Nothobranchius furzeri: one gene and its partner. The protein of the gene in region 2 binds, or shares a complex with, the protein of the main gene of each other region. Links are inferred from orthologs where the notes say so. Each region holds a gene or a part of one and is shown on either strand. Other genes may lie near its edges.

Evidence for each region. The genes of interacting proteins can lie anywhere in the genome.
Region 1: med18 (region 2) and med21 share a complex: the UniProt entries of both Homo sapiens proteins name them as parts of the mediator complex. The link is inferred for Nothobranchius furzeri from reciprocal best matches to the Homo sapiens genes MED18 and MED21.

Annotation. Positions count from the first base shown.
Region 1 is NC_091741.1:59,845,000-59,852,174, forward strand, and holds the start of med21 (mediator of RNA polymerase II transcription subunit 21), read left to right. Parts: upstream 1-3,234; 5' UTR 3,235-3,284; coding exon 3,285-3,326; intron 3,327-3,662; coding exon 3,663-3,777; intron 3,778-5,951; coding exon 5,952-6,052; intron 6,053-7,175. Other genes in the region: fgfr1op2 (FGFR1 oncogene partner 2 homolog), read right to left, coding at 1,104-1,217, 1,309-1,451, 1,882-1,999, 2,246-2,380. UniProt on the Homo sapiens protein: Component of the Mediator complex, a coactivator involved in the regulated transcription of nearly all RNA polymerase II-dependent genes.
Region 2 is NC_091745.1:72,039,946-72,046,912, forward strand, and holds med18 (mediator of RNA polymerase II transcription subunit 18), read left to right. Parts: upstream 1-2,334; 5' UTR 2,335-2,619; intron 2,620-2,944; 5' UTR 2,945-2,961; coding exon 2,962-3,034; intron 3,035-3,808; coding exon 3,809-4,365; 3' UTR 4,366-4,465; downstream 4,466-6,967. UniProt on the Homo sapiens protein: Component of the Mediator complex, a coactivator involved in the regulated transcription of nearly all RNA polymerase II-dependent genes.

The sequences.
Region 1 (7,175 bases), on a different chromosome or scaffold from region 2:
CAGAAAGTTAACACAATTATCTCAGCAGCCAATCAGATAACAGCAGCTTTGAGCATTTAGGTATCTAGATGTGATGGAAACTTGCTGAAATTCAAATAGAGCCTCCAGATTTAAGAGACGTCCAACCACGTCTGGTGGCTAGGGCTGGACAGTAATTCAATAATGATAAGACGTGTGGTGTGATAGAAAGAAATGGGTCAATACAACTTCAATTAGGTTTCCTTTCTTTTTTCACTATAGCCTATCAGGTAGCTTAAATACTAAAGACATTACTGTCCCAACCAATCAAAAACACAGACTCAGGCATGCTCACTCACCAAGCCCTCCCCTCTCAAACCTAAATAAAGAGCATGCGACTTAAACAAGATTTTGCAGCAAGCAGAGGTGGAGGAAACGGTCCTGAAAGACGGTTATAGTAGTTCACCAGCATGGAAATATTTAGATTATTAAAAGTCTGATAAAAACAATGAAAATCAAGTCTGGTAATAACCAACTTGTACGTAATGACCATAAAATGGCCAGCTCAGCACTTCTAATATATTTTCTACATTTTCTAGTTATTAATAATTATTGATATTAATCAATATGCTTTTTATGTATATCGTCCAGCTCTATTGGTGGTCACAGATAGGTTAATCTGATCTACCGGGATTTGAACCTACAGCCTTCTGTAAAATGTACAGATAATAAAACTCTCATGTTTAAACCACAAACATAATGCCTGTTCTCTACTTTCTTATTTCCATTAACATTGTGTTTAAACTGATTTCTTTCATGATTTTATTTTCTCTGTAGCTTCTTATTGTTTAGATCACTTAACTACATGACCCGTTTGTCAGAACGTTACTCTCAGTTATAACAAACTGAATGAACCAGTGGGAAAACCGGTCCCAAATGTACTGATTCATAGTTTAACCCACTATGGCAGATGCTTTGATCCAAATGAGTTAGTCTTAAATGATATTGCTTACCTGTGTAAGATGACTCATGAATCATTTAAATAGCTAAACTCTCCCTTGTTTCATTCATGTCAAACATGTTTTCCTGCATCAGAATTCAGAACATTTACAGGGATGATGCAGCAACTCCTTATTCGTCTTTACCTCTAACTGTTTAATCCTCTCCTCGTCTTCACATATTCGGTCCTCATCCACCTTTATAGCTTTCCTCATCACAGATGCCATCTCGTTGATTTTGTCTATGTGCGCTTGCATTTCCTGCACAGATCAACAAAAAATGATTAGAAGATTTTACATTACAGTTATTAAAATATGAATTAGAAGAACAAAGGAAACCCGAGTTGCTGACCGTGGTGTGCTGCTCCTTCAGCTGAGTGACGATGGCGGGGTCATCCCTCTTGCTCGCCATTAGGAGCCTGAACACCTGCTCCCTGTATTTAGTCATGATGAGCTCTATCGCAGACTGGTGTTCCTCCAAAGATGTTCGGAGCTCTGCAGAAAGAGAGAACGCATGTTTGGTTGGCTAACTATGACAAAGTCATTCTCAAATCATGGTATGAGAGCTCCCTCTAGTGGTACGAGGAAGACATTTTAGTAATGGTATAAAAAGGTAAGTAGGCTAATTATTCACTCTTAATTGGACCATGGCAGCAAGCTAAGTAAGTGACTACTAATTACTGAACAAATGAATAGGGAAATGCAGTGAAAAATATTTTGTAAGGATTTTAAATAACTCTAGTCGATCTGTATATGTCTATGTAAATAAATTTTACCTTAATGATGTCTCTGGATATTTGTAAAAAACATTTTTTCTGCCCAAAAACATTTCAGTGTTTGTAAGCAGTGTGATTTGACAAAAGTAAAGGAATGTATTGTACCGAACAGGAAGCAATCACCATGAGTATTAACACTGAAAGACTACCTTTGTTTTCCTGCTGGAGTTCTCTGATCTGACGGTTCTCTTGTTGGATTCCCAGAACCAGACTGGAACGAGGCCGATGTCGCGCAACCTGGTTCAGTGCATCAATCTCTTCCTGGTACTGTCAAATGTGAAAAAATAAATAAATAACGAATCAATAAAAAGCTTCGCCCTCAGTAGTTATGTCCTGTAAACTAAACAGCAGTCAACGCTACGGTTAAAATATTCCATCATTCTTTGGAATGCACTTTACTTTCTTCTTTTGCATTATAGAGTGTTCAGTTATAGAATTAGTAAAATGTGACCCCTGGTGGCACTAAGCTAGTACCCAACAGCACATAAAATAGGAAAAAAAAAAATCACATACCGTTTTTATAGCCTCCACTCTCTTGTTGAGAGATGTTGTCTGTTCAATTAGCATCTCAGCGGCATTGTCGTGGTTACGAAGCCTTTCCACTAATGATTTGGCATCTGCCAAGACCTTCTCTAAACTACAATTCATACCTAAGGAAATACAGAAGCATAAAAACAACTTATTTTTGATTATTCAACAGCTCTGACTTGTTGGTATCAATTTATTGAAAATAAATATAATTAATGCAATACACTACGAATACATGCAAACAAATCAGTCCAGTAAGTACTAATCTTTATTTCTTCAAACTCAGCTCATTCAAAGATCTGTCTACTTCTATATTAGTTGTTCAGAATCTTTTTACAGACAGCCACACGAAAATACATGAACTTTCACTTCACCACACTCTGTAAAATAATAATAATTCACCAGAACGATCGAAATGAGCCATGAATAAACGTTTCTAAAGCTAAAGAACCTAGCTTGAACCTTAAGCCTCCTCGTAGGTGATAGCACGCTAGTTTACAGCCAATAATGCATTGATAGGTCATTTTACTCTAATAAGAGTTTTATTACTTAACATATTTTGCATTTACTGACACAATTTATCACCACAACACTTCATTAATCAAATATAAACTACCGAGGAGTTCATAACACCAACCGGCTGCTATAACTAAACTTGTAAGGTCCACAAAAGGCAGCAAAACTGACAAATGTGTGGTCATACCTGAAGAGTTCAAAGTACAAAACCACTTGGGTTGAGTTAGCTTCTTTACTTCCTGTTGTTGTTTGGTGGCTAACACTGGCTAAAAGCTGACGTTTACTCCGGATTAGATGCTTTGGCGCGTTCCCATTTCCTTAAAGCACGAGAGTAAATATCGCTAGTCATGAAAAAGTCGATTTAAAACCTATCCACATTACAAAAAACCAGCCGTGGGACGGTCACAGCCATCGCTTCAGCTAACTCGAAGCCTCTTGTTTATTTCCGCGAGACGTTAAACTCTCGCGAGGGTCACGTTGGGGAGTTTTTTATTTTATTTACGGCAACATGGCGGATAGGCTAACGCAACTTCAAGACGCTGTCAATTCTGTAAGCAAAACTATTGAAATATCCCGAAATATAATTATTTTCTACGTCAATAGTTATTTTTTTATCTTACACAATTACAACAAATGGATTTAGATAAGAAATATTTGCAGAATTATCGTTTCAGTCTTTTAAATGTAGCTAATCGCTAACTTGCGAGTCTAAGGTTTAGTTAATTTACACAATTTATCACAGCTTTTATGTTTTAACCAATGAACATGGCTTGGTTTAACTGGTAATGCAACTATCAGACTATACTGGCTGTTTATCTATTCTATATTCTTTTAAACAAATGTCCGGAGTTTTAAAACCCGTGTTTGTTTTGTTGCGTGTGAACAGCTGGCTGATCAGTTCTGTGATGCCATCGGTGTTCTGCAACAATGTGCTCCACCTGCTTCCTTCAGTAATATTCAGACAGCAATCAACAAGGATCAGCCAGGAAATTCAGCCGAAGGTTTGTAACTTCAAAGCAAAATCTTTATTTAAATCTCTTTTCTCCCACATTCAGCTAGCCTGACCAGTCATGCATCCTTATGGGAAGCATTAGTTCTCTGTGTAGAATTAAACAGAGGACGAGTCTGGCAGGCCAAACATGCTCACATGCCTGGTGGAAAAATCACTACCAAACTCTCATGGGTTATTTATTTTCCTATTCGAAGAAGCCACAATTTAATAAATTGTTTCAAAAAGGGGTTTCGGGGTTTAATTGTATAAAAGTAAAAATGCTAGTCAACAAGTGAAATACTATTTCCAGGATAAAGTTAAAACGTCAAGAAAAATGTTGAAATTTTAAAGAAAATTGTCAAAACGTCTAGGAAAAAAAGTGTTACCATTTCCAAAATAGCCTGAAGAACTGAATCTCAACTGTACCCTGCCCATCCCCAAAAGTGTCACTTTGTAATATTTAGTTGGACTGCCCTTCACTTTGATTGCTTCTGCAATGTCAAAAGAATTATTCCCATCCTGAGTTGCATTCATTTTTTAATGAGGATCCTGTAGAGATGTTGAACAATCAAACAGTTTTAACAATTGTCATCGCAAAGATTGTCATTGGTGCTCATTGGGTCTGCATCGATATGCCCTGATCTCTTTCATGGTTTGATCCTGATGAATTGTGGAATTGCCATCTTGAGGTTATACAACCTATTTGCCTTGTTAAATCCAGAAGGGATTTATTTTGTTACAGGAAGTGTTGTTCCCTTTTAACTAAAGGGACGTGTTTGCTGAAGACCCTTATTGTGAAAGACTGAAGATCTCCGAGTTCTGCTTTAACAAAAGGAGTTAAAACCTGATATTTAAAGGGACTTTACGGAGTTTTGAATTTTTATGCTAGCGATTGCCCCCTCAGGCCAAAAGTGTAATGGCAGCTTCAATAGTAGGCTCGTGCACGAGGCGCGCATGCTGTACGTGCACACTCCTTTACGAAAATAACAGCTGAGACAGTCCCTTGTGTGTGTGGCCCGGAGGACAGAGGACAGGAGAAGGTGCAGCTAATTAAATAATTTGGTTCTGTACCTTTCTCTTCAGCACAGCCGACAAAGGTTTAAGATGGGTCAGTCCTCCTGCATGCTCAGATCATTCCCTTCCCTTGCTTGAAAAATTGTTCCAAAATGAAAGTTGAACCCACATCTTTTTTATCTGTGAATTCAATGCCGTTCGGCAAGTGTCAAATAAAAATTTGGGCATCTTACTGCAAAAAAATATACCATTAATGTAATGTACATCCAGATTCGAACTCGAGTCTTCTGCACGAAAGTCCGTCGTCTTACAAGGCGAGCTAAAGCGCCAGTGACGTTCCTTGTGTCTGTAACATTTATATCCTTGATGACAGCTGAAACAACGTTCAAAGAACAGTTTGGAGGGCTATGCCTGAGCGTGAACACGGATGAAGCAGCCTGCTCGACCCGAGCAGCTCTCTTTTTCTGTGATTTTACAGAAAAACAGGCAATCACAGTAAAAATGCCAGGGCTCATTCTACAGGACCAGGGCATTGCAGGAGAATGTATGAAGAAGAAATTTATTATTTCTATACATGTTTTGGCTGTCAAACTTCCATAACGTCCCTTTAACCAAATAGTTATTTTATTGAATAGTTTACTGGGTAAAACATTCCTGTAACCGTCGGTTACAATGATGATAAAACTGGAACAAATGCAGTCTGATTCAGGGGCACAACAGGGTTTGTTTTCTTTTTTGGAAGTTATATTTTGATATTTTTCAAATTAAATTGTAATATTTTTCCTCAGTATTTAGACGTAATTATAGATGTTTAGAATTTGTTCCCCACTATTTAAAGATGGTTTCTACTTTTGTCTCTTGTCTTTTCTCAATGTTCTAGAAATAGTTAAGTGTTGATTCTTAACCTTTAAACTTTTTTTTCTTCATCCTGGAAGAAACAAGCTGACTTTGTCATCGACATTATGACTGTAATCTTGAATTTTTAAAATACTGTTGACGTTTGTCTCGACATATTGACTCATTCTTGGGATGTAGCCTTTATTCTGGGGGGAATATTTAGACTTTTCTTGTCATTTGGAACTATTATGTCGACTGTACCTACTTGTTTAGTTGCAGCAATGGCACTAACGCTCATTGCATTCCCTCATGTGTGTTTTCCCTCTCCTCTAGAATATGCACGGCTATTTGCCGCTCTTATTGCCAGAACAGCCAAAGATGTAGATGTACTGATCGACTCTCTGCCCAGTGAAGAGTCCACAGCAGCCCTGCAGGTCGGCACGCTCGCACTCACTTCACTCTTGCTTCCAGTAGGAGCTTCAGATCTGCCTGCATTTATGCTGAAGGAAATCATTCAGACTTCTACTAAAATCACAAGGATTGGTCTCTAAGAGATACCGACTCTTTGAGTTTAAGAAGTTTTACTGAAATAATGGCTTCACTTTGATCTATTTTAAAAAGAAGAGACCCAGTATTATTGTTCATGTTCATAAGAAACACATTTATTTTATTTTGTTGACCCAGAGTGTTACAGCTTTTTAATGTTATGGCCGTTAAAAACACTAACCATCATTTTTAGAGTTTCAGATTTATTTATTTTGTATTTTAACATAACTTTTTGTTTAGTATCGAGATCAAATGACCCTTTCAAAAATTGTTTTGAATTTTTGTAACTCAAGAGAGATGAAGCATTCTGAAGTTAAACATTCTGCTTGACATGCCTTAGGACATTGTTTTGAAAAAGACCAAATAATTTAACAGTGAAGATGGCAGCTGAAAAATTCTGCATCAGATGTTTTCACAGCAGGCAGTGGCACTTCCAGGCCTTTTCCTGTGGTGACTTGTGCACACCAGTGCTTCACAGCAGAGGGTTTTGTCCAGTGTCAGAAACAGACAAGGACAGGATGGTGTGCGTTGGCATTTGTGGGAAATGTTTCAGCTGCTAGGCTTATTATCATCACACTTCTTCACATGGTAGTTTACTAGTAGCTGAAGACTTAGTTCTGGTTATTGTGTGAAGAGCACTGAGCTTGCTTTTCAGGCAGCAGGGGGCGCCACAAGAAGTTTAGTTTTCCATCGTGAGAGCTCTAGGATCTGCTGAAATAGCTTACTGATGTCAAAGACTGGAAAAACAGTTTCTGAGCAGTTATGTGAATTATTTAATAACATTCCTGTAAATGCTGCGTATTTAGGAGCATTGTTGGGGCAAAGCACTTCATGGGCATTAGTAAGTTTAAGTTTCATACAAATATTTTTCCATTTAAGTGAGATTTGTCTGTTTAGTTTTTAGACATCTTTTTCCTTATAGTTTAAGATTGTTTTTTTTCTCCCTATGCTGAACAGCGTGAACTTTATTTATAAAGTACTTTTAAAAGAGCAAAACTGACCAAAGTGATG
Region 2 (6,967 bases):
ATTTCCTCTAAAACAGGTAAGTAACCAACCTAATCAATTTAATATTTAAAATTCCCAGAGAAGCTTGTGAATAACTAAAAATTTTTTTATTTTAACAGCTACAAATCAGCTCGACGTGTGGCTGGGATGTCGAGTTCTGATACCATGTCAACGTGTCGGCACCCGGTGGGATTCTTTTAGATGGGTTTACAAGGAGAATGAACATAGTCGTGCAGCCCAATTATACTTTCTAGATAAGACAGGATTGACACTGTATGCCTCTAACCGCAGAGCCACTGTTTCAAATGATGGCTCCTTGATCATTGATGATTTTAAGGAGAAAGATCAGGGCATGTACTGGTGTGAAAAGTGTGACAAAAACAAATGCGGAAGTGATCAGTCGGACATCTACAGAGTGCAAAAAGGTTGGAACGACTGTTCTTTTCACAAATCTATTCATTCCTTCGCATATTTCTATTTCAATTTCTGATATTTTTATTGTCCTTCTAGAAACTCTGAAAGAAATTCAAGAGACATCATACATCACTGCAGGCAGCAGCTTCATGCACACATGTCCGGGGGGTTTTCTGGAGCTAAAATGGACTTTTGAAGCAAGCAACAAAACTGCCCAAGAATCCAAACAGATTCCAGAAACAACCGTTAATGTTGTTAATGTTAAAGCTGCAGATGTTGGGAAATACACCTGCTGGGCGAGTCGCTGTGGCGGTCCGAGTCAAAAACAGCTTACTGTTAGCTTATGTGTGGTAGAAGGTAAGAAACTCACAGTAATCTGCTTCATTTGTGAAAAATAAACAAGATTTATGTTAAAATATACATATTTGTTTGTTTTGTGGCAGTAGTACACCACCGTGAGGACTCCTCTCTGTCTTGTTTCGTGACGTGTGATGTGGATTCTGAAACTAGAAAAGAGACTTCAAGGCTTCAGGTGGACAATACGATAATATCAGTGGACGTAGCTCCATCTGGGGTTTTCGTTTGTACGGCAGGTCAGATTTTGGACAATAGCACGACTGTTACCAGCACTTACACATCAGCATCAGCAGTTTTAAACACATCAGCAGGCGAGTGAATGCCGCGACCCTCTTTTTTAAATTCTAAATTAAAATTAAACAATTAAAATAAACATATTGTTGACTCTACAGGTGAATCTGAGGAGACTGAAAACACGTTTCCAGCCATTTATGGAGTATCAATCACTGCGGCATGTCTAGCTGTAACAGCACTCGTGATTTTTTGCTTCAAATCAAGACTGCAAGCAGGTAGGATTTGCAGCTGTAGGTTTTCGTTGAGACTTCCTGTTTTTTGTAATTTACATATAGATTTTAATCATGCACAGTGGTTTGCCCTTCAACCTGATTCTCTTTCTGTCTCTCCTCAGCATTTCCGTTTCACAGCTCTTGTTGCGGATTTGGCAGCAAGGTATGATGAGTATTATAAAGTGTATGTATGAAATACCACATGTGATGTTTTGCTAAGGTAATTAATGTCTTGTTTTATGCTGCAGGAAGAAGAAGAAAACCCGACTGTTATTTATTCTTCTCTTGTCATCAAGGCACCTCCCGCAAGAAGACATAGATATGCATGTGAAACTGACTGCATTTATGGTGAAATAAAAGTGTAGTAGAAACACACCTGGCAGAGATGAAAGCTAAACTGAAGAGTTAGTGATTGTAGTTTCCACACTGTCCTCTGATTTAGTGATCAATTTGTCAACAACTTCTAATATGATTGTATGTATAATTATTACTCCCACAGGGTTGTGGAGGTAAAATCTAAAATTTCTCAATTTTTGCCCAAAATAAATAAATAAATAAATAAATAAATAAATAAATAAATTTCTACATTTAAAATATATTTTATTTTATACATACTCTTCCATAATATGTTACGATATATTGCTGAAATGTGGATACATTTCTCATTTTGCAGATTTTGAATTTATGAATAAAATAATACAATTTAAATTTTAAATGTTTAAAAATTTCCAAAGACAATGAAGTGAATTTATTTTTAAGAAACTGTTCCGATATTTTAAAATGACGTTCTGAGAAAGAGTTATAAGCGATTAAAATATGATCTGATGAAGACAACTGAATAAAATCATAATAGAGAAACAGATTAGTTGTGACTGGACTGATTATTTTTTCATGATTATTTATAAACTGTTGGATCATTAATTTACTTTCTGCAGTTGCAGAATGAACTTCATTTCTATTTTTATTTCAGGAAATGTGGAATATTAATGCGAAGATCCTGTCATTTCGTTTGTGCACCGTAGTTTTTAGACATAGATGTTGTAAAACCGTCATTCTCCAGTAGGTGGCAGCAGAGTGTTATCATAGCGGTTGTAACGCGCTTCAAAAACAAGCCAAAGAAAGATGCTCTCGTATTTTTGATGCATATTGAATGTTTTGTCTAATCTCCACATGCGTGGGTGGTTTTATTTTGACTACGTTTCCTCCATTTTTTACTTGAACAGCTGGAGTGACTCATTTGTATGTTGCTGACGTAAAAACTTGGCGAACTAGCGGTTAGCTAACGCTACATGCTAACCGGAAGAGGCTTACCGGGTCTTTAACAAACCATTACGCCAACATTTATTCTGGTTTACCTTAACAGGTACGGAGTAGCATTCTGCTTTATGGCTATTTTTCATGTAAAAGTAGACTTTTTGGGGGAGTCGCAAACTGTATGAATGATTTAGCTTAGCAACATAATTTAGCCTTTTAACTATTAGCTAGCATAACGAACAAGTTAACATCATAAGTAGCTATTTACATTAAGCTCTGCATATTATCAAGTAACAGTGAGCCAGCATGCAAAGTGTTGATTAAAATAAGTTTAGAACCACCTCGACCTTTTTCTTAAAGTGAAATATTTAGCTATTTATTAGCATGTTGAGCTAAGCTTACTGACTGCTTTTCTTTTTAAATTGGGACAAAAGCAGATACCTGAGAAAAGATGGAGGCCCCTCCTGTTACCGTGATGCCTGTGACCGGTGGGACGATTAATATGATGGAATATTTGTTACAAGGTGAGTTAGTGAGATACAAAATAAAAATAGTCTCCCTGAGTGCTTTTTAAGTACACAAGAAAAATTACTTTTCAGACATTTCAACGTTTTATACAATTGTCAGTTTTGCATTAGTGGCCATATGTAGTATTTTATATCAGCTATTATGTCAACAATGAAAGATGGATGACTGTTAATGGGGAAAAATCTAAATTGAATTGAATAGGCTATTAATCCCAGGGGGGACATTCACTCTAGAGCAGAACATACGCTTAGAGAAAAGGAAGAAGAAAAAAATAAAAACAAAAGTGCAGGTACATACACAACGGCAGTAAGCTATTATTGTAACCTTCAAACCACTAAGAGCAACAAAATAAAAATACTAAATTGGGTTTCCAAAGATGTACAGCATAAGGAACACATATTTGTAGGTGATAACTAAGATTTAAAAGATCTTCTACCATAAACTGAAACTATCAGTTATTAGTCATTTTATTTTTACTAATTTGTAAAATCTCAGAATCTTGTTTCTGCTTCCATGAAAGCATAACTGTGGAAAAAGTCCTCAAAAGCTGGATTAACCTCTAATCTGACAGTTTAAGGAAACGTGTTACATGAAAAACATATTCTGATGAAGACTGATTATAGAATACATGTTTTATACCTTTACTGTTTCAGATAAAGTTTGAGTGACATAAGATGTTTGTTTTATTTTTGAATTATTCATGTTAGAAAATGATTGCTGTTATTTTTCCTTCAATGAAGCATTATTTTCTTTGTTTTTGTTGAATCCAGGCAGCGTGTTAGATCTGGCTCTGGAAAGCCTGCTGCATCGCCTCCGTGGTCTGTGTGACAACATGGAACCCGAGACTTTCACAGACCATGAGCTGGTGTACCTTCTGAAAGGCCAGCAGGGAAATCCTTTTATCCTGCGTGCCCGGCGCGCCCTCTCCCACCCAAATGCTCCATGGCATCTGCGTTATCTCGGCCAACCTGAAGTGGGAGACAAAAACCGCTACGCCTTGGTACGCAACTGCGTTGACGTGGCTGCCTCTCACAGCCTTCCAGAGTTCCTGAACGAGATGGGCTTCCGCATGGACCACGAATTTGTCACCAGCGGCCACATATTTCGCAAAGGAGCTATGAAAGTGGTGGTTTGCAACGTTTCTCGGGTCCAGCTACCAGGAAACACGGAAAACACAGAGCGAATGTCAAATTCGCACCTAGTTGAACTGAGCGTGTTGGCCCCTGCTGGCCAGGACACGGTTTCAGAGGACATGCGCAGCTTTGCAGAGCAACTGAAACCTCTGATTCACCTGGAGAAGATTGACCCAAGCAAGCAGAGACATTAGAAGTAGAATTCAGACTAACATGGACTCATTTAATGTAGCTACTTTTGTTTAATTGTTTGTTTTTTATCTTAATAGAAAATAAAATACTGCTCAACTTTTATTCGAGAGTTTTATTTGTTTTTGAATTTGTTTCACTATCTAAAAAATGCTTCATTTATTCCTCATGTTGATGAAAATTATAGTGTATTAACAGCTAAAGCTATTTATTCAAAGAACCTTTTAATGCTTTACTGAATAAGAGGTGGTTTTTGCTGTGGACGTTTTTCTTTCCGTCCACTAGGGGTCTCTCTTTCTCTTGTCTTTGCCTTGATTGGAACAAATTGAATGCTACCTCTCATCATCTACTGGAGCTGTGGTTGCCATGGAAATAATTAGCTGCGAGATCTGCACATCTTTTACCTCATTCTAATTAGCTTTCTCAATTGCTTAATGATACATAGACCTGTGAAAGCCTTCCTTTCTTTCCCTCAACAAAAGCATTGATTTTCGCTCCCTGCCCCTCTCGTTTCCACTGTTAACCCATTAGTGCCCCTTTTTCATGGGAAATTGAACTGGAACCATTACACATGAAAGCTCCACAGCTGCCTTGGGTCCTTAACTGTTCACGATGAAATTGGAAGAAGAAAAAAAAGAGGGCTGTATACTAGTGTGTCAACATTATGGCCAATTGCCTGCAGAGATGGAAGTAACTAATGCACATCCTGTCAGTTATGATAATAATGTTGGCAAAAAAGACATGAGTGCTTCTAATAATACCCTTGCAGGAAGATGCATTTGCTGGAGTTGAAATCTAAAGTGACCATGTGCATGTCTGAGAGGAGAGCTCCAGGGCCGATGGCTGTCTCTGCATGTTGACCTACCTGCATATCAAGGCTGATGAGGACGAGCTCACTGAGGTGGAAAGGTGAGGTGACATAGTTTCCGCATGTTTTTTTTTCTTTGCACATTGAGCATCGCTTTTAAACAACGTTTCTGGAGATTTTGTTTATTTTTGATCACAAACTGGATCTGTGCGTGATTGCATCTAATTTTAGGTTTGCCCACTTGTTAGACAAAGTTTCCTCTCTGTGAGTCTGGGCTATCTGATGGAGACAGATTTATGTTCCAACAACCAGAAGCAAACTACTGGCCCTTAGGACTAAAGCATGATGTTTCAGCTCTGAGTGAATTATGTATTAAAGAGGCAGATGCCTCCTTGCCTAAGGCTTTATGTGTCCAGCATGGATACGCTACAGTCTACTGGCTTTCTTCCACTTAAAAGTTGTGTTTAGCACAGTGCTCTGTGGTGATGAGCTGGAGTCCCACTACACCTCCACTCTGCGATGCCTGGAGAGCGCAGGCATAGCTAGGCTAATCAGTGTCTTGGCATCAAGCCTGCTTGGCTTTGTGGATGTTGCCAACCACTGACTAACCCAAGTGAAAGACTCAGCTCTGCTGAAGACAATTTGGTGTGCTGCAGAGAAGAAATCAGGAGAAACCTTCCTTAAGGTTGAACAGGATTAGCTTGGCAATACATACACTTAAAATAATAAGTCCACATGAATAAGTATGTGTTAGAGCTACTACACTCTAAGAAATGAAATGTTAAATTTATGTAAATAAAAGTACATGTATGTTGCTCTTTACAATTAAGCAACTAGGTTTAGTGGAACCAGCAAAGTCAACTTTTCATTTCTCAGAACATGTGCAAAATAAAATGCACTTAAAGCAACAGTGGATAATTTTTCCCGTTTCTCCTTCCTACTGGTTGAAAGCAGAATTACAGCTGCCGTAAACAACCCTGCTGCAGCCTGCTGTAGCTAGTGATAACAACAAGCTAACGTTAACACAAACCAACTGATACTAAATAAGCTACGACGTAAAAAGATTGTTGGACAAAAAAAGTGTCTTACAAGCCCAGTCACAACAAAGTTAGGTCATCATCAGTCCGTGGTTTCATAGCCTTTATTTAAAAAAATGCATGTGTGAATCAACAGATTGACACTTGTGGAAGGTCAGCTGACCACGATGTAAATCCCTGCTAGCTAGCTCAAACAAGTGTAGGCCGCGTTTATGATCACTCTGGACTTAGCTCTTTGCTTCACCTCCACCCATTAGTCTCTTACGTTTACTGCCAGGCTCTGCCATGATGGGAACAAAAAGGAAGAAGCAAAACTCTTCTTACTGCTTCCTGACAAACTGAAAAAGCTAGCTGCTAGCCTTTATATTAGCTACCAGCTCAGTAAATGGCTATTATTATAAAGCAGGTTGAGACCTCCCACTAGTGTACCTATCAGAATCACTAAACTGTTAAGTGGTAAGAAGACCGCTACAGATCAGAGTCAACTTGATTGTAAGACGATGTTCAGTATGAAGTTGCTCAAGTTTGTGGCTCAAGAATCACTGAAACCAGTTTGAAAGTAATAAAATTAAGTGTTAAAATCTTGTCAGGTTGCTTTAAAGGTGTGGAACACTGAAAAAATTATTTTTGATTATTATGGTTCTCTCTGAGTTTTTCATGCAGATTAAACATGAAAATAGTCTCCTATGCCTATTTCCTGTATTAGCTTCTTATAGAAAATAGTCGGTGAAACTCTAGGATGTGAAAAGCCTGACAGAACTA